3 linked regions of the Oreochromis niloticus genome follow. The protein of the gene in region 1 interacts with the protein of each later gene in a biochemical or structural test. Links are inferred from orthologs where the notes say so. Each region holds a gene or a part of one and is shown on either strand. Other genes may lie near its edges.

Evidence for each region.
Region 2: the proteins of small ubiquitin-related modifier 2 (region 1) and tprb form a complex in vitro, tested with the Homo sapiens proteins (2 studies listed by BioGRID). The link is inferred for Oreochromis niloticus from reciprocal best matches to the Homo sapiens genes SUMO2 and TPR.
Region 3: the proteins of small ubiquitin-related modifier 2 (region 1) and daxx form a complex in vitro, tested with the Homo sapiens proteins (4 studies listed by BioGRID, with this or other methods). The link is inferred for Oreochromis niloticus from reciprocal best matches to the Homo sapiens genes SUMO2 and DAXX.

The regions. Positions count from the first base shown.
Region 1 is NC_031971.2:26,017,962-26,025,673, reverse strand, and holds the start of small ubiquitin-related modifier 2, read left to right. Parts: upstream 1-4,698; 5' UTR 4,699-4,836; coding exon 4,837-4,857; intron 4,858-5,761; coding exon 5,762-5,893; intron 5,894-6,833; coding exon 6,834-6,905; intron 6,906-7,712. Other genes in the region: ADP-ribosylation factor-binding protein GGA3a, read left to right, coding at 616-815, 1,608-1,777, 1,907-2,017, 2,222-2,332. UniProt on the Homo sapiens protein: Ubiquitin-like protein that can be covalently attached to proteins as a monomer or as a lysine-linked polymer.
Region 2 is NC_031981.2:2,409,930-2,417,861, reverse strand, and holds the start of tprb (translocated promoter region b, nuclear basket protein), read left to right. Parts: upstream 1-4,914; 5' UTR 4,915-4,951; coding exon 4,952-5,102; intron 5,103-5,472; coding exon 5,473-5,577; intron 5,578-5,685; coding exon 5,686-5,759; intron 5,760-6,327; coding exon 6,328-6,424; intron 6,425-6,536; coding exon 6,537-6,640; intron 6,641-6,756; coding exon 6,757-6,921; intron 6,922-7,152; coding exon 7,153-7,245; intron 7,246-7,364; coding exon 7,365-7,445; intron 7,446-7,788; coding exon 7,789-7,876; intron 7,877-7,932.
Region 3 is NC_031985.2:8,769,961-8,776,815, reverse strand, and holds the start of daxx (death domain-associated protein 6), read right to left. Parts: upstream 3,019-6,855; 5' UTR 2,682-3,018; intron 2,276-2,681; exon of another isoform or gene 2,254-2,275; intron 1,154-2,253; 5' UTR 1,138-1,153; coding exon 895-1,137; intron 1-894. Other genes in the region: tapbp.1 (tapasin), read right to left, coding at 4,885-4,896, 5,053-5,081, 5,283-5,384, 6,655-6,855. UniProt on the Homo sapiens protein: Transcription corepressor known to repress transcriptional potential of several sumoylated transcription factors. Down-regulates basal and activated transcription.

The DNA of each region.
Region 1 (7,712 bases):
TAAGGCAGAGAAAGTCTTTCATACCACATGCTGTACACATGTGCCAAATAATGATAGTCATTACTTCAACTGATGTAACAAAAGAATTTCCCAAGTAGAGGATAAATATTTATGATCTCGTCTGTGCCAAACATTTACTACATGTTGTTTTATACATATGGGTCCATAAGTAGTATAATACTTAGACACTGACACAGTTTCTGCACACTGTCGTATTGTATTTTAAATCAGTGAAGTGCCAACTTTCAGCTTTTAATTTAAGAGATTTAATAAAAGCATGGCGGAAACTGTTTAGGATTTTCACTCATTTTTATACATAGTTCAGCGCTTCAGATCTTTGTGTTTAATTTGCATTGAAAAAATGAGGAGACAGACTTAATCTGGCCAGGAAACTACTTGTTAGTCACTTGTCCAATTACAGTTGAGTCTCTGAAAATAGGGGGCTTTGTATAAATTGTAGTACTTCTGTTAAACTCACCAAATCCAATCTATCAGTCTGCACTTAAATCACATTTTGATTGTTGAATGTTAAAATCCACTGTGGTGGTGTACAGAGGCAAAATTACAAAAAATGTGTGTTTTTTCCAAACATTTTCTTTGCGCTTTGTCTTTCAGTCTTGAAGCCACATCCACCCCAATTATATCAGAAGGAATACATGCATGGTCTGCTCCTCTGTCTATCAAGAGTCAGGCAGATGACAGCCCTCTGTTGCGCTCTCTGTCCCCTGTTCTACCCCTGAGCCAGTCGAGTCCAGGTAGAGGACAAGAGGTGTCCCTGGCCAATGTATTTGTCCCTCTTGATACCATCAAGCCAAGTGAGTTCACCAAGTGGGCTTTACTGACTATATGTTTATCTCTAAGTGAAGGTTTTTGTAGCCTGTTGGAGTGTATGCTCAGGGTCCCTGACAAGATAAATTTGAGGTCAAATCAGATCATCTGATGTCTTTCTGGAGGTTTTCAGTGATGGAAAAATGGTGTTTACTCTATTAAGCACTTAACACTATTTTTAGTCCTTAAAACCTATTGGAAATATATATTTCTAAAGTAGATTTTTCACTGAAAAGGACCAGTGTAAAAGCTGTTCAAAAAGAGCTTTATGTTCTCAAAATGTGAACATGTATTTTGTTTTTATTAGGACATTTTTGTTTTTCCAACCAGTAATTTAAAATGTTGGCTGCTGTTTGACCATCTGTCTACTTTGATAGCAAATTCTGTAGAGAGAATAATCACCTGAGAGATTTTGGGAAAGCATTCGTGCCTGTGTACTGCAGATGGTTCACTGACCTCCAGGTGTTTTTTGTCGAAACATAATTGTTAGATGGGAAAATGAACATTTCATCATTACTGATCATTACTGGTGACAGTGAAAAATTGAATAACAAATTGACAGTGAAAAACATATTAATACTGGAAATAAGATGGATTTTATCTTCTTATTGTGGTCTGAAATTAAGCATTGCAGCACGCACGAAAGGAACGATGTGCATGAAAGCAGAAACTTCTTCTAGCTGACTCAAATGACTGTGTTGAGGGTCGTGTGTACTGCCTTATCAGTTTATGAAGTAATCTCAGTTTATTCTTTTTCTTTGCGCTACCTACACTTTTAGGTAAAGTGTGCCCAGTGACAGCTTATGATAAAAATGGTGTTCGTGTTCTGCTGCATTTCGCCACCGACTCTCCACCAGGCAGGCCGGATGTGCTGGTGATGGTGGCGTCCATGCTTAACACAGCCACTCAGCCGGTCAAGAACATTGTTCTGCAGGCTGCTGTGCCCAGGGTAAAACATGACGTGCATACGTAACACTGTTCCTGCATCATGAGATTAGATTTTTGAGAAAAAATCGAATTTAAGTGGGATGCAGCTTCTGTTTGATGTATGTGGATGTCTCTTCTGCCAATTTTCCAGACGATGAAAGTAAAACTGCAGCCACCCTCGGGTACAGAGCTGGCCTCTTTTAACCCAATACTTCCCCCTGCTGCCATCACTCAGATCATGCTGCTTGCCAATCCTCTCAAGGTAAAGCTCAGCCTTGAGCTTTTCTTGTGTTTGTGCATTTAAGCATTTATTTATTGACAGAGCGCTTACTCAGTTGAGCTGTTCATTCAGTAAAGAACGGTGAAACATCTTTTTACTGTCTTCCTTGTCAATCAATATGAGAATATAATGGTTAATGGCTCAGTGCGGTCCTTAACTGAAACATTCTGCTTTTATGTCTTGCAGGAAAAGGTCCGGATGAGATATAAATTGATATTCACCCTGGGAGAGCAGCCATTCACAGAAGTGGGGGAGGTGAATGATTTTCCACCTGTTGATAAATGGGGAGCTCTATAGCTCTGTAGGCTGATTGCTGTAAGACTACTTGATCGATTTGCTCTGCTGTGGTCAAAAGAAAGCAAAATATTAAAGCTTTCAGGCAGAGTTTGAGTATATGATAAACTTTGTTGGATTTCAGAGAGTTGAAGATGGTCTGCTGATGTAGCACAAATACAGCGCTAATTTTATTACGATACCAGAGGTAGTCAGTGTGATGCAGTAACTAACAAAATGAACTGTTTGAATGCTGATGGTAGTTGTTTGGTGAATTTTAAATATTGTTGTGCTTTCATTTTTTTTAGTACCCCTTTGATATAATTTTAATGTTCTTATTTGTGTCTCTGTTTTATTGGAGAATAGTTGCACTTTTGGAAACAAGGCAGTCTTGCATTAGAGGTTAAAATGATTGTGAAACTGTGGTTGTATGAACATGTGATCGCAATTTGAGTTTCACATGATTTCTTGATGACTGTGTAAGATTTTTAGAGTTGAGACGTCAGGCCAAAGCAAACAAGAGCCCCTCTTTTGCTCAAAAATCACTCCAATATTGGCTGACTGGAAATCGGTCGCTTCCAGTGTGGCTCAAAACTACAACTGAATACCTTTCTTCTGGGTTTTACAGGAAATCACAGCTCAGCCTGTTATATTCAGCACTAATATTTTTTAGCATTGCAGTATTTATTGTCATGAATGTATTTATTTTGGTTAGTGAGGAAGATATCACAACTCCTAACGAAATGTGTGGTGATGCAGCTGTCAGCTGTATCCTGCATTCCCCTTATTAATAGATACTTTGAGTATTGTATTAATAGATGAAAAGGTTAGTGTGATTTTCAGAGTCTGTAATGTTACCAAATAGTCATACAGACTTGTTATAAACGTTACATTATTTAGCAAACTAGAGATGGGCTTAACGAGGAAATTTAATTCATGTTGGAAGAAACGGCAGCCATAGGTCAAGGCCTAACCCTTGGGTAACTTACCATGTGTTCATACAGAATTGTGACCTCTTTGTCTTTATCTTTTTGGAGTTACATGTGCTGGAGGTTCTCTACATATTTCTTATAAGTTTATTTATTTGTCATATTGTTAAATTAACTTGTCATTGCATTTTTTGAACAACTACTTCTGTGCATGGATGAATAAAGCCTGGGATGGATTTTATTTATGTTAAACCTTTTAACATTTTAACATGACTTTGTTTTTGTTTTGGGTTTTTTGTTGTTGTTGTTGTTGTTTTTTTTAGTGTTCAAAATCGGTGTAAATGCAACTGAATGTATTTTCATTTTAGAATTGTTATCTCAGTTCCTTAAATTAACTTAAAATGTCTAAGGTACTCTAACGGGCCACATTTTCCCCCATTCAAAGTAATTGAAAATACAACTTTTGATCCTACATTTATTTTGACATTAACTAATTCATTCCTTTATGTTAAGGTTTGATTTTGGAGTACTCGCCTCAGTTTTTTATTTTTATATTTCCCCACCAGATGGTACTGCTTTTTCCCATTCAAAGCAAGTGGCAAAATGTCACTCTTCTTTTTTCTGCAAGGGTGCTTTGCTACTGAAATAAATGTTGTTGGATAATCGTATGTGAGAGAGAGAGAGAGAGAGATCCCCCTTCAAGTCTTTTCTCTTAGTTTATAATGCAGGGTGTGGCCTTTTAATTCAATAAGAGTAAATGTATTGCATTTTGAATATTGTATATCCAGAATGACTACTCCTGCAATTGCAATCATTTTGGATATGGTTGAAGCACTGACATGATTGACTTGTCCATCTCCATATTTTTGTATTCCCCAAATGTTTATCTCCCACTAACACCGCAACGGTCTACGAGTTTGAACCTGGGACCTGCACACCATGCCACCAGCTATGCACCGCTGCTGATTCTAAGTTGTGGCCCTGGGAAACACTCAGTGGTGTATATGGACACAGAGGAACAGCAGCCTTATATAGGGATGCTCATTACAGATGGTGTTTACAGGTCAACAAATTAATCAGTTCAACTCAACATAATACTAGATAATATTTTTACAGCCGTTTGTGGGAAGTTGCATTTTTTTTCATTGGGACCTAGAATATACACTGTAGAAAAAATAAGAATGCATGAAAATCAATGTTTCTGCCAATCGTTAACCTATCTCAGGACCTGATAAAAATAATAGTCATATGCTCCCTGAAATGGATTTTATGTACCTCATGTTGTTGTTTGCTGTATGTGAAGTGCATTAATATAACCAAACAACGTCCTTGATGTGCATTTATTCATTTTGCAATGCCAGATGGTAAGTACGAACTACAGATACAGTGCCTCTACTCCCAGATTATATGTATCTAAACTTCGCTTAATAATTGTTATTAACTTGACGATACTGGAGCCATGAACTATATTGCTGTTAAGTCAAACGCGGGCTCTTCGCTCACTGCAGCCGACGCAAAGTGGCGCGCTAGACTGCGCAGTCGCAGCAGTAGCAGAACAGGCGAGACGCAGGCAGACAGTCCTCAGCAGCAGCAGCAGCCATGGCAGATGGAAAGCCCAAGGTGAGGATTGGACTTTAAATGCATCAGAGCCCATACAAAGTTGAATGTACACGGTAAACTGATGGAAAGCAGTTCGTACAATTACTTCGAATCGTATAACTCCAAAAACCGCTTCAAACATGCGCTAACTTTACGGTGTTTGTTAGGAAGCTAGCGGGTTAAGTTAGCATAATAAGCTAACGTGGCTAACCGACCCGATCCATTGGTGAAATAAAGAAAATATCAATATTTTCTGTAAAATAATTTTTAATCGGCACCTTTAAAATTTTGCCATCTGTATGACTAATGCACATGTAATGGGAAATAATCTAGTTATCCCATACCCGACTAGATTAAGCACCAGTTCAAGAAAAGTGAGTTAACGCTGAGACTGAACAGAGCAACATAAACGGTACAAAAAGGAACCTTTTGAGCAAAAGTCGTAATGTGCAAACGAATCTTAGATTGTAAATAAAGGGTTCCGTTGTACTGACTCGCCAGCCATAAGCCTGGGTAAAGAGATAAGGGTTTTGTTAATAGCACAAGTGGAATAATTTGAATCTTTGCTAGGCCGCAGTGCATCTTGTTGTATTGAAGGCCATTGTTGCTTGAGTTGCCTACAGCTAATGCTAACGTTGAAGTTGTAAATCCAGTCCTCATTGCTCTCGGTACCCACGCTAGTCTTCAGCTCTACGCACATCAGGCAGGCAGTTGTCGCGGAGGATAAAACAAACAAGCAAAAAACGTAAATCCACGCACATATTGTGAACTTAACTTTTGTTTGAAGACAATGAGGTATCGCTGAGATATGCAAAACACCTATGACTCGGAATTTGTAATGGCGGGCGCAGTTTCTTGTAAATCGTCACACCTCCCCCTTTTTTCTAAATAGTGTGACTTTCTATGAACTTGTTTTCTGTCTTAGGAGGGAGTAAAGACGGAGAACAACGAGCACATCAACCTGAAGGTGGCAGGACAGGATGGCTCAGTGGTGCAGTTTAAGATCAAAAGGCACACTCCTCTCAGCAAACTGATGAAAGCTTATTGTGAACGGCAGGTGAGACTGGGACACAATTGTAACTTTTTTTAGAAGTATCTTTAAGTGTATTGCTGGTCATCTGAAATTGATCATTCATAAGCAAGAGACCACGAAATTGACATTTAAAAATACATGGTTCTTGCCAAATCAGAAATGGGGTGGGGGGGGAGGGGGGTATATTTGGACATCCAACAAGGTAAACCTTCCAAAAAAATTTAATTTGCTTAATTTACTTATGCTTAGAATATGTTTCTGTATATCAGATGGCCTAAAATAGAAGGGTAATGCAAACATCTGTTAACTATGGTAACAAGGCTTTTTTTGCTTTAACTATATCCAGAGTTTTTGGTTTGACCCTAAAGAAGCAAATCTTTGTTTTCATTTTGTCATTACTCACATGGTACCCGGAAAAGTTTGGCGGAATCCACACAACCTTAAATTTATCTGGAAGTTAAGAGTCTTAAAAACACCTCAGTTCTACTGTAGACATATTAGGTGTGCAACATCAGTCCTCCCCATCTAATGCGCAGCACACACTGAGACAGTTACACCATTTTGCACATCTGCTATAGTGAAAATAACAAAGTTTTGCAGTTAAAACTAAAATGTCAATCATATATATTTAATCTTTACAATATTCTGGATGTTTATAAATTGTGTTATTTGTATACGTTAGAGCTATTTCTCATGTATGTAACTTTGTAATATATTGTATTTAATTTTAGACAGTCTGTTACGGTTCTAATGGTCTTGGAGCAAGTTTAACCACATAATTTCCTTTTGTCCCACCCTTTTTATTTCCATCAAATTTTGAAGGGGTTTTTTGGTTAAGCAGTCAGTAGGGAAAGATGGTTTTCCTGAAACAGGAGTCATTGCAATTCACAGTCGGTGTTTTAAACCCGAGGTCACAAAAATACCTTGTGAAGTTTAAAAGTAAACATTTTGTTTTTCCACTCAGGGGCTGTCAATGAGGCAAATACGATTTCGATTTGACGGTCAGCCCATCAATGAAACAGACACACCTTCTCAGGTAAGTCTACATGCTCTTGTTCTTGTGCACTTTTGGAATCACTTTTCGTTATTGTGAACTACGGCTGAATAAACCTTGGCCCTCATAGTCTTGCTACTTTGGCTCTTACATCTCATATTAGTTGTTACATGTGAACTCAATGCATTATGTTACAGTACTCAAAATCCACAAACCAGTCAGCTGTTTGGGGCATTCCAGTAAAGTCATGGATTACCACATAGCTAATATAGGTCAGGCCAACATGATCCTTGTTTGTTTTGGTTTGGTTTAGGTTTTTTGTTTGTTTTTGCAGTCCCGAGATTGCATTTCAGCTGATATGTTTCCAGCATATACCATTTACTTTCATGAACTCAAAGAAGCAATAATTCTGCATTACAACTGTACTACAACTAAAACAAGAAAGAGATTATAATATTTACTGTTGTATACAGAAAAAGCATAGAGGTTTACTCAAAAGCACAGAGCCATTATGAACAGATCTAACTCCTTGTTGCATCTGCAGTACCCCTTTATGTCAGTGCAGAACATAATCTTTTTTTACTATGATGTTTAAAGGAAAACATTATGTCAAACACTGGGTGATAAATCAGGTAAGAAACAATACTCTGATACATTAAGTATAGTTATTCACATAACTGCTGTGGACACAAAAATTAAAGCCGCCCATGTCTCCACACATAAATTGGTGTTTCACACAGCTGCTCTACTAAGACTGCCAACCATATAAAGACACAGCAACCAAGACCTTGTACTCCAAAGCAAGTTCAACATACTCAGATCTCTGTTTCACTCGCCCTACCCTTGGTA
Region 2 (7,932 bases), on another chromosome or scaffold:
CCAGCCTCCAGACAGAGATTTCCTCCATCTCGTCGGTAATTTATCATAACTATATTATCATATTTACTGTGTTTAACTTATAATCAAATCATTAAAACCACATTTTGGGAACAACACTTGAGAAAATAGAGAAGCTTTACAGAAATAAGACACATTTACGGGTCATGCTTCCATCTTCTCAAAAGGCCGTCCTTACTTTACTGCTTTTCTCTCTGTCTCTCACTACATTTATCATTTTCATTTATCAGACTTGTTTTTTAATCATCTGTCCACTGAGGATTCAACAATCTTCAGTCTGCCTTTTTAATTTTTCTAATGCAAAAGTAAAGTCACTGTTTCAAAAAGCCACTCGCATTTTTCTCTTTCAGGCTAAATATTAAGTCAGAACAGAGGACATCTGACACTAACTCTGACTGAAAAGCAGGAGCCTCGGACGTTATTGCTCAGGATATGACTGGTGTGCGTGTATCTGAAAGGGCGGCAGTTTTATGTGTTTCTAGGAAAGTTCATCCATGTGTGTTATCGTTTAATATTTAGTTCATTGCTGTTCAGTTTGTAAATGCGATGCTTCGGCTCTTTAAGGGTTCAACAAAAAGTTGAAGAGGTCCCCCGGAGGACTTACCCATGTCGTCAGAGTTATGCACTGATTCCTTTACCTTTGGACTATGAAGCTCTAATATGCTCACTAAGTGACACCACCGGTCCCAGTTACTGCAGTGTCGCACCAAACTGTCCTGAATGCACTCAAACACTAAAATGGTTTAACAGCAAACACCTTCTGTTCTTTTTTTCCTTCCAGTGTATTTTACTGATTTTATTGTTTTTAAAGGATGAGACTCATCTATGGACCAGTTTGTTGGTCTGGAGAATTTAGCGTTAACACAAAAAACAGACACAGCATATCTGCACAAACACTTCCTGCTAACTGTCAAGCACGGCGGTGGAGGGGTGATGAGTTGGGTTTGATTTGCAGCCAGGACTTGGGCACCTTGGAGTCACTGAATCATGTATGAAATCCTCTGTCCAATTTCAGATAAAAATTTTAGCTGAAACTGAATGTCACGACAGGACAAATGACCACAAGCACAGCAGCAATGACCATTTCAGACTCAAGACTTCAACACGGCTGAAACGCAGGGACCTCAGAGATCTGTGCACAAACAAATGCCCGTAGACCTTGCTGGTAAAGATGGTCCCACAACCTAATGTATCGTGGATGTATCAGGTCAGATTGTAACTTTAATTGAATTGGTAGGTTTCATGCTGTAAGGCAGGGGTGGGCAACTCCAGGCCTCGAGGGTTGGTGTCCCGCAGGTTTTAGATCTCACCCTGGGTCAGCACACCTGAATCACATGATTAGTTCATCACCAGGCCTCTGGAGAACTTCAGGACATGTTGAGGAGGTCATTTAGCCATTTAAATCAGCCGTTGGTTCAAGGACACATCTTAAACCTGCAGGACACCGGCACCGAGGCCTGGAGTTCCCTCACCCCTGCTGTAAGGCAAAAAAAAGGGTTAAATGTGACTAACAGGGGGTCACAATTTATTTGTTGTAGGTTTTGTAGCTTTAGTGATATAAAGATTTGGAAAAGCACGTCCAAGCTTATTTTTAAGCTTTCTGAGGTGAGGGGGGGTTGTGGCTTCCTTAGGGGGAAACTACATTAGTCTCTTATATAATTGCCTGTAAGAAGGATTTCTAATTACTCTTGAAGCGAGAGCTGCCAAACTGTTACACGCTTATAAATATTCCTCTTAGGATCTACATGTGTTCGCAATTCCACAGTAGCGCATCTCGCATGACTTGCATAGCCTCTAGCTGGTATTGCATCATTTTTACACCATAACGTCTCTATCAAAATCTTTTTTGATACTTTCCACAGAAGCCATTGGAGCAGAAAGTGGTTCGAGGTGCCCAAACACATCAGCAAGTCTCGACTAGACGACAACACTGTTTGCAAACAGGACAGCCATCGACTTCCCAATAACATGGTGCAATGTTTAAGTCACACTTTAGTCAATCTACAACCATCCATTTGTGGCTTTAGGGTACAAGTGAGTGCGGCAGAAGCCACAGTGAGTAATCTTGGAAGAGCTGAGGAAATTTCTTTTTAACGCCATTAAGAAATGAGAGGGTATATTTTACCTCGAGGCTTATCTGAAGGATCGGCCTCACATGAGCCGAGTTTCCTGAATAGCTTTGCCAAGTGAAGTCCAGAAAAACATTTACACAGATACAGTAAGTCTTTCCTCTTGGAAAAGACCCCATACATGACCTGACTCACCGCTGCACTCAAACAAATGTTTATCTCACTGTTTACCCCTGCTCCGACCACCTGATTACACCCCCATTCTGACATTTCGGTCCCCCCTTTGTTTATACTCCTTCGCTAATTGGAACACTTTTTTGTGCTTTTTTTATGTTTGGACTCTTGGAAAGCCCAGCTGTCGCGCTCTAGTTCACCCACATAAAAAACAGTTTAACTGAGGTGATGTCATGACACAGCAGGACACCCGGTTGGAAGCGCGCTTGACCAAATATGGACACCGGATGTTAGGGAGATGACATAACTGCGAGGCGTCCTCACTGCCTGTAAGAAAACCTATTTTAAGTAATGTTGTTTATATATGTTGTTAAGATCCTCGTGACTCATGAAGGTCAGCGATGAAGTGATGATGTGAGTATTGGGCCTGGTGAGCTTTCAGTACAAACAACGGGCAACTTTTTGAACGCGTGGAATAAAGTGCAATGCAATGCAACCGCCACAGCAACACAGCCTCACAGAACATGATTGTTGTTACCAAAACAAAGGTGGAGGGAGCAAACTTTTCAAAGAAATGGGGAAGAAAAGGATGGAGGACTCAGTGGAGGATGAGAATGAGTAACACAGCTGGAACGGCTGCAGAAAAATAAATTACAGTGCACAGGAGGCTCCCACCTCCTACGTTTGGGTTGGTCCTATTGAGGTTTCACACGCTAGGCTCACTTTACTGAATGAAAGGACCGAAACCTGAAAAAATGTCAAGGATGGGGTAAGAGATGAGTGGCTAGATTTCCAAAAGATTAACTTGCTGCAAAGTTCTTTTGAAGTACTCTCACCTTTGATGAATTTAAGTAAATGTACCCATAACCATGAATCACATCTGTTTAAATTCAAACACCACAGGCTGGAGTGTCCATGCTCCTAACTTTAATGCTGATGACAAGTCCTGACAACTGTCGGTATGGCTGACTCAGATTAAGAGGTTTTCACTGTAATGTTGCTGCAGCTTACTGTACGCGTTGGTATCCAGGCGTGACAGCAGACTGTCAGAAAATAGCTCCGCTGCCTGCAGCAAAAGTTTGCCATAAAACTTCTCATGTTCACGCTTTTGTCTCATGGAAGTCTCATTTTCATTATGAACCAACGAGCCACTGAGGTATTTGTCCAACTAGTCTCAACAGTTTCTGAATACCAACAAGGTTTATGTCACAAAGGGACACAGTAAAATGTCTGAAACTGAGACTTCTGAAGAAATTCCACCCAAGAGCACTAAGTGAAAGTGTAAGTGGCTGTGTAACAAAAGAAAGGAAAAAACACACAGCTACACACAAAAAATGCAAACATTCACACTTCAAGCTTTTACAATTAATTAAATGTGCTGTGTAATACGGAGCATGAAGCTATGAAGGGTGTACTGAAAGATAAGATTAGCTCTGGGGCTGAGAGACATCATTGCTTCTGTATGGAGCAAAGGAATCACGTTTATAAAGATATTCAAGTTATTATTGTAAATCCAAAAGGACACAAAGCAAAACTTGCATCATAATCGGCAGCTAGCTAGATCGATAGATATATAGATTACATGTACATTTTCCATATAATTTTGTTATATGAGTGAAATGTAAAACGTTAAATGTAATGGAATCTATTCAAATATAATCTTTACACATTCAGTTTCCACCTAAAACAAATTCCTTAATGATTAATTATGATTTTTTATTGATTTCATATGTTTCAGCTGCATTTTATTATCATTATTATTATCTATTTTAAAAATGTTGGCCCATGTTTCTAAGGGTCAACGATCATTTTTTAAGTGTAAAAGTTAAACACCTATCAAGACCCACACCTTTTTATAGATGCAAACAAAAATACAAACTGAACTTTATACAGGCTGCCTACATTCACATACCTACAGATATGCAAGCATACTAATAATAATGGAAAATAGTGATATCCAGTCAAGCAGTCAACGAATTAATTAACGAGCCAGTGTATCCTTTTATTCTTTCTGCACAGCACCACCCTCACTATCCTTTAATTATACTAAAGAGACTTTTAAAGGCAACTTTAGCCCTATATTGGCTAGTCCAATATAGTCAATATAGTCCAGTTGTCTTTAAGCCTTCTGCAAATATTTTTTTAATGCCTCATGAGATTTGATTTGATGATATCGGTCATAACGTTATAAACCTTTGATTTCAATATACATATATATATATATATATATATATATATATATACATAATAATAACAGATATTTGATACCCGAATATACTATACTTGCACACGCGTACTTACCATTGGCTTTGAAAACAATCTTTTCTACAGTCATCGGTACGTTGGTACTTACATTGACGTCGATTTAGTGTGTTTTGGCGCCATCTGCCGGCCGTCACTGGCTAGAGTATCTGTATCCCGTAAACACCAGAGGTCACGAGGACGATTTTTTAAAAACTTAGACCTAGTTGCTAACACACGGTTTAAACATCGTGGAAAGGAAAGCGGATTTTTTTTCGTTTGTTTGTTTTGTTGTTGTTGTTGTTTTTTAGTTTTGTTTTTACAGCTTAAGAATTATTTTCAAGCGAGGTTTGTTTAGGTTGACTGAAGCGCTACCTCGCGTAAAAGAAATACATTTCCCATAATGCTTCAAATTATCAACTGCGCCTGCTCGTCTTGCAGTCGGAAAAATGGCGGCACTCCTGCAACAGGAGTTGGAGGCTTCCGAACTAACGAAGCTACCAAAAACAATTCAAAGTAAACTCGAGAAAATTGTTTCGGATCTGCGGTATGAAATCGATTCATTAAAAGCCCAACACGAGCAATTCCGGGTTGACAGCGGTAAGTTATTCCCTGTTATCCTGATAGCTAGCCGTGCTAAAGTGTTTGGCTTTGCTTACAGTGCATGCATGCCTGTTTTAAACCGTGCAATGTTAAAGCTCAGAAGTTTACTTTGAACGTATTGAACATAATAACCGTTCTTTGTTCATTACTTCATTTGTCCGTCAGGGGCTTTAAAATGTTGATTAGAACTAACAGGCGATGAAACTGCGCTCTTCCAATAACAAGAATAAGACGCTAGCTAATGCTAGCACTAGTTAACCCTCTGAGCTAACCACTGCTTTTGATAGCAAAAAAGAAGTAAATAAAGCAAGAAGGGGATGATTTTATCTTCTTGTCTTACCTGTTTGTGTTTACCTTCTTGTTACAGAGCAACAGTTCTTCGAAAAAGTTAAACAGCTTTCCCAATGTCAAGAAGAATTTCTGTCTCACACTCAAGAACATCTTAAACTCAAAGATGAGTTTAACAGACTTGGTGAGAATAATAAATTTAGGTTTTCTAATCGGACTCGGACTGATTCCACTTATGACTCCACAATGTTGACCTTTATTCTTTCCGCTGACTTTCATTTTTTTGCTGAAGGAGAGGAACTCCAAAGTGTTCGCGAGAAGAACCGAGAATACGAATCTGCACAACAGAGGTTGTCATCAGAGCAGGTAGGGAATCCGAAAATCACTGATAACCGCTTTGTTTTAAAAAATGTTTCTAACTGAGTTTAGTCTATCGGGAACTAGAGTGGTCATATGTCCTCTGGAGCCTGAGCATTTATTATTGCTGTCGGTGTAAGGTTCAGAGTAATTATGAACAGTTATAGAACAATCAGGCGTTTTTTAGCAAGAATATTTGTAAAAACTGTATGTATGGCAGGTGATCAAATTAAACATAACAATAGAAAAAGGTTTAACACAGTTTGACACCCAAGATTTAAATCCTCCTTGCGCTTATGCCATAACTTCCACGTTCAATATGAAAGGAGCCAATTCCTTCATTTTCATTAATAACACTGGATTGACCAATCAGATCTCTTAACGTGACCAGCCCCTCCCCCTACCGTCCTTTTGCACTCATGCACCTTGTAGAAGTTTCTTGATAATGAAAATATAAGTGTATAAAGGGAATGTATGCATCATTGAACTGCTTTGGATGCTTTAAGGATTTAAGATGTGCTTAATTTGTAAGTATTATAACACTAAGCACTCTGTTTAAATTAATGCATTTGTTTAGACTTTGCTGTCCAAAGCCAAAGATGAACTGGAGGCAGAAAAGCGAGAACTTGTGCGAACACTGGAGAGGAGATCCTTAGAAGTGGAGAACTTAAATGGTATGAAAAGATAAATTAATTATTTTTATATAACTTCATATGTATTGCATGTATATTTGTAAATGTAAACTCTCACCTCTACATAACAAAGTCATTTCTTTTGCTCTTCCAGATGACCTGAGGCAACTCAATGATAAGTTGGTGGAAGTGAACTCGTCAAAGATGACCCTGCAGATGAAGTTGGATGATCTCGAGGCAGCTGAAGTCAACATCAAAGTGAGTTGATATTTTCATGTAGATTTAATATCTTAACACCACCTGCGAGAGAAAGTTGTTTTCTGTTTTCCGTGGTTATCAGCAGATCACTGACTGAAGTTGTGATCATTTTCTAGTATAAGGAGAAACGAATGGAACAAGAGAAAGAGCTGCTGCACAGCCAAACAGCTTGGTTTAACGAGGAGCTGAAGGCCAAGAGTGAGGAACTGCTGTCCCTGTCCCGGCAGAAGGGTAACGAGATCCTGGAGCTGAAGTGTTCCCTGGAGAATAAAGAAGATGAGGCACGTCCTTTGTTGTTTTGGGGTTTTTTTGTTTTGTTTTTGTTTTTCTTTGAGATGTTGATGTCTGAAGAAGTTTGTCGAGCTAGCTCTGACTCAGAGATTACTTGTCTTGGTTTGTTACTTTGATCTCAGTGCTCATTGTGCCTTGAATGTGGACACTTCTTTATTTTGAGATGGGTTAGATCCTTATTTGACTTGTCATCTGATGCCATTTGTCTTTGTGATTTCTAGATGAAAAAACTCCAAGATCAAGTGACCAGTCTGAAGACATCAAACGAGAACCTTCAGAAACAAAACGAGGACATGATCAGCAAACTCAAAGAAGTATGTCTGTTTCCAGACAGTCATTCCTTTTTAATCAAACCCTTTGGTATTATGTAAACGTACATTATGATGAAGGCACTCGGAGTGAAAATGAATGGTTGGATTTTAACTTGTTTTAGGCCAAGGAGCAACACACCAGCATGGAGGAGAAGTTCCGAAATGAGCTCAATGCCAACATTAAGCTTTGCAATTTATACAAGGTATGTACACGTGCAAAATGAAACCATGTGGTGTGGTACTCTGCACTGCTGGACCATTATTTCCTGGTTTGCATTAGTAAATTATTACGTTACGTTATGATTGTAGCGCCCGTGATCAACAACTTCTATATTTGTTGCCAGAATCTTATTGTTTGTGTGTTTCTAGGCTAAATAAAATTGTTATAGGGAACTTGTGATTTTAAAAACTTGAACTTTGAGTGTTTACATATTTAATTAAAATGACAGTGGTTAAGCTTTATGTTTGTAAATGAAATGAATCCCTGCATGTATTTGCACGGCTTCTTTCCCAGTGTTTGTTATACTTCATCGTTTATTCTGGCAGGGAGCAGCTGCAGATTCTGAGGCCAAAAGCAAAGAGCTGAGTCAGGCGGTGGAGGAGCTGCACAAGCTGCTGAAAGATGCCGGTGAAGGTAAAAGGCTTGTCTGTAATCGTGTTTTCTATCCTAGAAGGACAGAAGATGTTCAG
Region 3 (6,855 bases), on another chromosome or scaffold:
AGTTTAATATTACATACATATTTAATGCTAGCGTTTATATCCTCTCACAGTACACTCTCCAACTAAAGCAACCTCACCCACCCCATCAGTTCATTTCTTAAACAAACACAAAAAACCTGTCACTATTAACGAGACTGTCATACAAGCCAAATTAAAAAAATAATAATAATTGAACATTATTTTTATTATAGTTTTTTCTTCTTCATTATTTTATTGTTATTTTATTATAGTTGTTGTTTTTTTATATATCAAAATGAAATATACAAAAATGGTCTTATCAACTTTCAAATACTAAACATGTTTTTTTAAATGACTGTTTTAATAAAGTTGTTTTGCACCCAGTGGAGGAGAGCTGTAGGATGCACTTCACCTCATGCTGGGATAAACTCCATGGAACGATGTTCTGCAAAACTAGACTGTACTCAGGAATTTGCATTTACTGAATCACTATGAGACAACATATAACACATTCACCACAATACAATCCCCTCTTATTTTTAAAGCTGTGTTACTGGTGACAAGCGAGCTGTGGACCTTCCTGTGTTTCCCCTACAGGTGTGGTAAAGACCACCAGCTGCAGTCTAGAAGAGTGCAGTTGATCTGCTCAATGAGGAACTAACTGATGACACCACTGAGTTTCCCACAGTATTATTTGGGAAACATGGATCATCTCACTTGTTAATTTGATTTAAAAGTCAACATTTAAATATATCATGTTTCAACAATTAGCCTAGAAACACACAGATAAGATTTTAAGTCAATGTCACCCAGACAGAAAACTGAGCATTTAGAGAAGTCTGAAGTCCGATACACATGAAATACTTCTGCATAAATGTCATTATTTTAAGTTCTGGTCATGTTTAACATGAACTTTGGAACATCATATAAACTCACCTCAGTGAACAACTTCTGATTCTCTGCCTGCAGACACTGCGTGGTCTTCTTCGCTGTAGCGAAGGGTGACTGGGTAATGTGTGTGGGCACTGGCTGCTGAGCTTTGAGCGGCGAGACATTTTTGGCTTGAAGGTCAGGGCTTGATTTGGAGGCAGAGGAGGAGGGCTGAGGACTCTCTTCTTCTTTGTCTTCCTCATCAAGCACAATGATTTTGTCTGCCATCCAGGCAGGAGCCACCGCCATCCAAAACGCCGGCTTTCTAAAATACAAACAGGCAGAATGAGACCAGAACAGAATGACACACAAGCATCAGAACTTCAGTGTTTTCAAGATCTGTACGATATTTACATTGGCACAAAGAAAAAAGTGACAGATTCTGGCCATGTGGGCACTTCTGATCATTTAAATACCAAAGCAGGGACCTGCACTGTGAACCGGGTTCAACAAACCCAGGATATTTTTATCTGGTTTCAAAGAGAACCAGTTTCAGGTCATATTCACATGAAAGATCTGAAACAAAGACAAGTCTAATGACTGCAGAGTGACTCCCTTTACAAATTATGATGTCAGAACACAAAATGAAGAGTAACACACAGTAAGGCTGAACGCACCACAGCTGCCACAGATAGAATTACTGTGTTTCTGTACGAGGAAATGTTTCAAAAGTGCTACATTAATGTGTGGAAAAGTCCAATATCAAAAAAGTCAATTTAAAGTCAGGAACGAAAGCTGAACACATGCATTTGTGCGCATTAACAAAGTTGTCACTTTCACAGCTCCACCATAAAGACACGGGAGGATCTGAAGTATAATTACAATTTTTTAGTTTGTAAAATCAACACTATAGTGTGCAGATGTGTGTGAGACAGTTTCAGCTGCACCCACGTATAAAGGAATGAAATAATTTAAACATTGCTTGCAGTGAAAAGGGAAAAAGCAGGAATAAAGCTGCGTATAAAAATCCATATTTTTTACTGATGCTCACCAGAACATCAGAATGATGGTCAGTAGGTACTGGTTTTCTATATGTATGCTACTCTTCTTTAACAAAACCTACTGTGGATCAGCATAGTTACCTGATAATAGATGAAGCACCTTTGAAAGGTTTAAAAACTGGGGTTAACCTGAAGTCCCCTCACTATGCCCCAAATCCTGCTTCATAGAAGAGGCCCCTGGTTAGGTTCATGGCATGTTATCAAAGTCTTACGTTGTTTAAATCAGCTCTGACTGAGGATCCCTCATATTGGGATTTTTTTTTTAAAAACAGTTTAATCTGAGCAAATAGCTTCCTGAAACAGGGGCATGATCACTCAAATTCCCAAGCTGGGTAATGGATTTCTGGAATGACTGCCAAAATACCTTTGTGGCCCTCAGAAGTCTCCAAAGTCATGTCAGTTGACTGCTTTCAACAATGTCCCGTTGCCTAGACAATTCATCTGAGGATGTGTGAACCTGTGATTTACATGCCACCATTTTCTATCACCAGTTAAACTTCAATAACTGGAAGGCAGACTCCTGCGTCCATATTAGAGCCTTAACACAGAAGCATCGAGCTTGTGAATTTGATGCTTCATTTAGGGCTACAGAAGCCGGCTGATCAGCGTTATCGTTTCGCTGTGTTTACTCGGAAAATAGGAAAACAAACAGGGGATAGCAGTTTCCAAACACATGAAAGTGAAACTAATCACGATGACACAGACAGCACATTACAGGTGGAAAACTTAAGACAGAAGGTTAAATAAAGCACGCCCACGCACACCGTAATAATGAGACAGTAGGATACACACCGACCTGTTCTCTACGAGCTGCTGGAGTTAACAACGAAACTAGAAAACGTTGCACCGCCGCAGGACATCACAACACTCCAGTTAGTTAGCTGACGTTAGCTCTGGAGGCTAGTTAGCATTCGGACTTTTCTAAGTAAAAAAATAACCTGCCAGAAAAAAAGTCGAGTTACGCTCTCATCGCCTCGCGAACCGGGTAAACAAACCCGAGATAACCTCTAATCTCGTTCGTTTTTATCAGACTGGATCTTCTTCATCAAAACAATGCCCCTTCACTTAGCTGTGCTATCGAATCGAGATCGAAAATGTACCCGCTAAACTCCGCTCAACATCAACGCCTCTGATTGGACGACAGATTCGTGACGATGAGTAATGCCATTTCCCATTGGACAGCTGCTGACATGTACCGTTCTACTATTATTTTTATTATTTCTTTGAATGTACTTAATTGACTTTATAAAGCTTCTTTGTTTTACATTTAGTACTTTTATATTTTGAACTTTTATCAGATTTACTGTTATTTTGTGTTTAAGTTCAATGTGAGATTCAGAATGGGGAAGAAAGATGGTTTAAGCTACTTTCAACGTGGTAGGGGGTAGACTGGTAGGGGGCCAGTCTGACTCTGAATATTTTAGAAAATGCTGATCTGCTTGGATTTTACCACACTACTTTACCAAACTACACAGCAGAATATTGGAAAAACGTTTTCTGCTCTGACAAGTCATGATTTGTGCTGTAACATTCAGATGGGAGGATCAGAATTTAGGGTCAACAGCATCAAAGTATGGATCATCCTGTCTGTCTACAGTTCGGGCTGGTGATGGGGTATAATTTTCCTGATGAACCTCGGGCCCCTTGTTACAAAGTATTGTTTAGACACCATCGGCTCCCTGAGTATTGTTGCTAACCATTTCCATCCCTTTGTTACCAGTGTAGCCATTTTTAAATGGCTGGTTCCAGCAGACTTATGCACTATGTCATAAAGCTCAAAACATTGCAAACTGGTTTCTTGTACATGAGGATAAGTTCACTGTACACGAATGGCCTCCACAGTCACCAAGTTACAATCAAATAGAGCAATTCTGGGATGTAGCAGAACGACAGAAACATGCCATGGACACTGTGTGATGCTAACATGTAAATATGGACCAGAATCTCAAAAGAATATTTGCAGCACCTTATTGAATCTATTCCATGTAGAATTAAAGCAGCTCTGAGGACAAAAAAGTATTTAACCCAGTATTATTAAGGTGTACCCAATGAAGTGACCAGTAAGTGTGAGTGAATGTGTGGTTTAAAGTGTGTACAAGAGCAGAGTGTTTAACAAGAAGAGGACTTATTTGGTGTGTTTCAAGAGATTTTTTTTATTTAATTAAAATTCAGAGTCCGTTTAAATCAGATGCTAATTTAAAATCTTCCTTACAGCAGAATTTTGTGCTCTGTTTGTAAAATCTCAGTTTCAGTCACAGATTTAATGTTTATTAGCCGGGGCAAGCATGTGATGAAGAAAAATACAAACACACCTAAAAACAATATGAAAACAGAAATACAATCTCCATATTTACAAAAAGGACAAAAATAAGACGGACAATTTGAACAGTCTATTATTATTATTATTATTATAAATATTATTTTTAAAATAATGAGTCTATTATTAGTCTAATAATTTTTACTTAATTAAAACAGCATCTCCTTTTCTTTATAAACCAACAAGTACAGTCCGATCTCTGGTTCCAAAAAGTGTGAGTTAATGAGGTTTTTAGATAGACGGGAACATCGAATGGAAGAATTAACCTTTAAAAAACAGAAGCTGATGTTTCAACACATCACTCCAAACTTCCTCTCATAGTTTTTCTTTCCAGTGTTTGTGACGACATATAAACCATAAACAGAGGAAGGCAGAACCACACAGCTCTATAAAGAATGATTAAAGAAACGTCACAAGAAAAGTGTTTGCGCTCAGCTTCTTCGAGATAACCCTGTTCCTTTCTAAAGAACAAAAAGTTGAATCCAAACGTTTTAAAATAAACAAATTTGCTAAAAACAAGCATAAAACATACAAGTTTACCTCCAAACCAGAGCAGTAAAAAAAAGAAAAGAAAAAGAAATAATCTGTCCCATGAACATGTGGAAAGCCCCTCCTGAAATCCCATCAAACATATCGAGTGGATTATTGCCACTGATGGTCAGTCGCCTTCTTTCATCTTCACTTCTCTTTCTGTGATGGGAAAAAATTGTAAAATTAAATTCAGAGGAAACACCAAGAAGCACCACGTCCAGGGTGATGAAACATACAGTAGGTAACTAAATTAATAAGAGATTTCTGTAAACACATTTCAATGTTTGTCTGCAGTAAATATAACAGTGACATTACCTTATCTTGTTTATCAGCCTCAGCTGAGCCTATTTACAGAGAAATACAAATTAAAAAACAAAAAGTCAGGCACAGAATTTAATAAACATCTTACTTTTTGAAATATATTACACATTATTTTTTATTTGATCCAAAAGGTAACAAGATTTTCTCCAGCTTGAAATGATTAAAAAAAAACTTCAATACACATTAAAACTGTCATTAGATATTTTTGTGTCAATATTTGCTACCTGAGCTGGTAAACGTCCACGAGACAAACTTGATGAGCCCATAAAGCACCAGCGCCACGCCGACCATCGCCATAGAGTCCTCGATGGACGGAGAACTGAACCCTGAAAAGGAAAAAAGATCGTTAGGATTTATCTGATCTGAATAAGTTTGTTAATATCAGTTAAATCATTCTTACAGTACTGTGCAAACATTTTAGGCAGGTGTGAAAAAATGCTGTAAACAAAGAATGCTTTCAAAAATATAAATGATTGTTTATTGGCCCCAAATGTATTCTGCAGCAGAACAACGACCCCAAACATACAGCCAAAGTCATTAAGAACTATCTTCAGTGTAAAGAAAAACAAGAAGTGCTGGAAGTGATGGTACGGCCCCCACAGAGCCCTGATCGCAACATCATCAGGTGTGTCTGGGATTACATGAAGAGACAGAACAATGTGAGGAAGCCAACATCCACAGAAGATCTGTGGTTAGTTCTCCAAGATGTTTGGAACAACCTACCAGCCGAGTTCCTTCAAAAACTCGGTACAAATGCAAGTGTACCTAGAAGAAGGCAAAGGGTGGTCACAGCAAATATTGATTTGATTTAGATTTCCCTTTTGCTCATTCACTGCATTTTGTTGGTTAATGAAAATAAATGATTAACACTTCCATTTTTGAAAGTATTCTTTGTTTACAGCTGCCTAAAACGTTTGCACAGTATTATATATACTTCAATATCCAACCTTTAAGAGTTATTTCACAAAGCCCTTCCCATGTTTGTCACCCAACCGAGCCATTTCAGGTACTAACAGAAATAATTATTTAATGGCTCTCATGGTGTTTATCATATCTGTGCTGCTTCATTCATCTATAACAGATATACTAAAATGTTCTAATGTCATTAATTATTACTTTAATGCAACAGTTCAGGTAAGTCTGAAGGTTTGTGATGCAGTAAATCTACTACTTTAGCTCTGTTTTTAGAAATAAAATATCACAGTGGGTCATTAATGGTACTACATGGTTACTTGGTGATTAACAAAAATCAAACTGTTTTAAATCCAGAAGCTGGTGATTCAAACTGTTTACTTAAATCTAAGAATGTGTTGAACTACATCAAAAGTTATCCAGGTAAACATGTTTCAAGATTATTTAAATAGTTAAATATTTAGTCATTTATATGTGATACTAACCTAATAAGCCTCATTTAAAGGAAAGTGTTTTGTTAGTGGAAATATCTTTTCTTATATCAGTTTCCCTTCTATACTATTCTACCTTTCTTCTCTCTATTTCATCATTAGTACCTTCTCCAGGTGTATAAAAACTGCTTTAACTCGATATAAACTGAGCTGTTAATTTGCTTGCTTGTCTTCCAGGTTTGCTTCACATTACCAATGACATTGAGGGTCACGCTGGTCCGTCTCGTGCCTCCAGCGTGGGCGGCCACACAGGTGAGCTCCCCTCCTCTGCCCAGGTCCAGCTTAGAGGTGTCGATCTCGAGCCGGGAGGTCTGGCTGAAGGTGCGGTCCCAGGCCTGCCTGTGGCCTGTTACGCTGAATGAATCCAGGGTCTTGGACTTCCCGTCGGCACCTT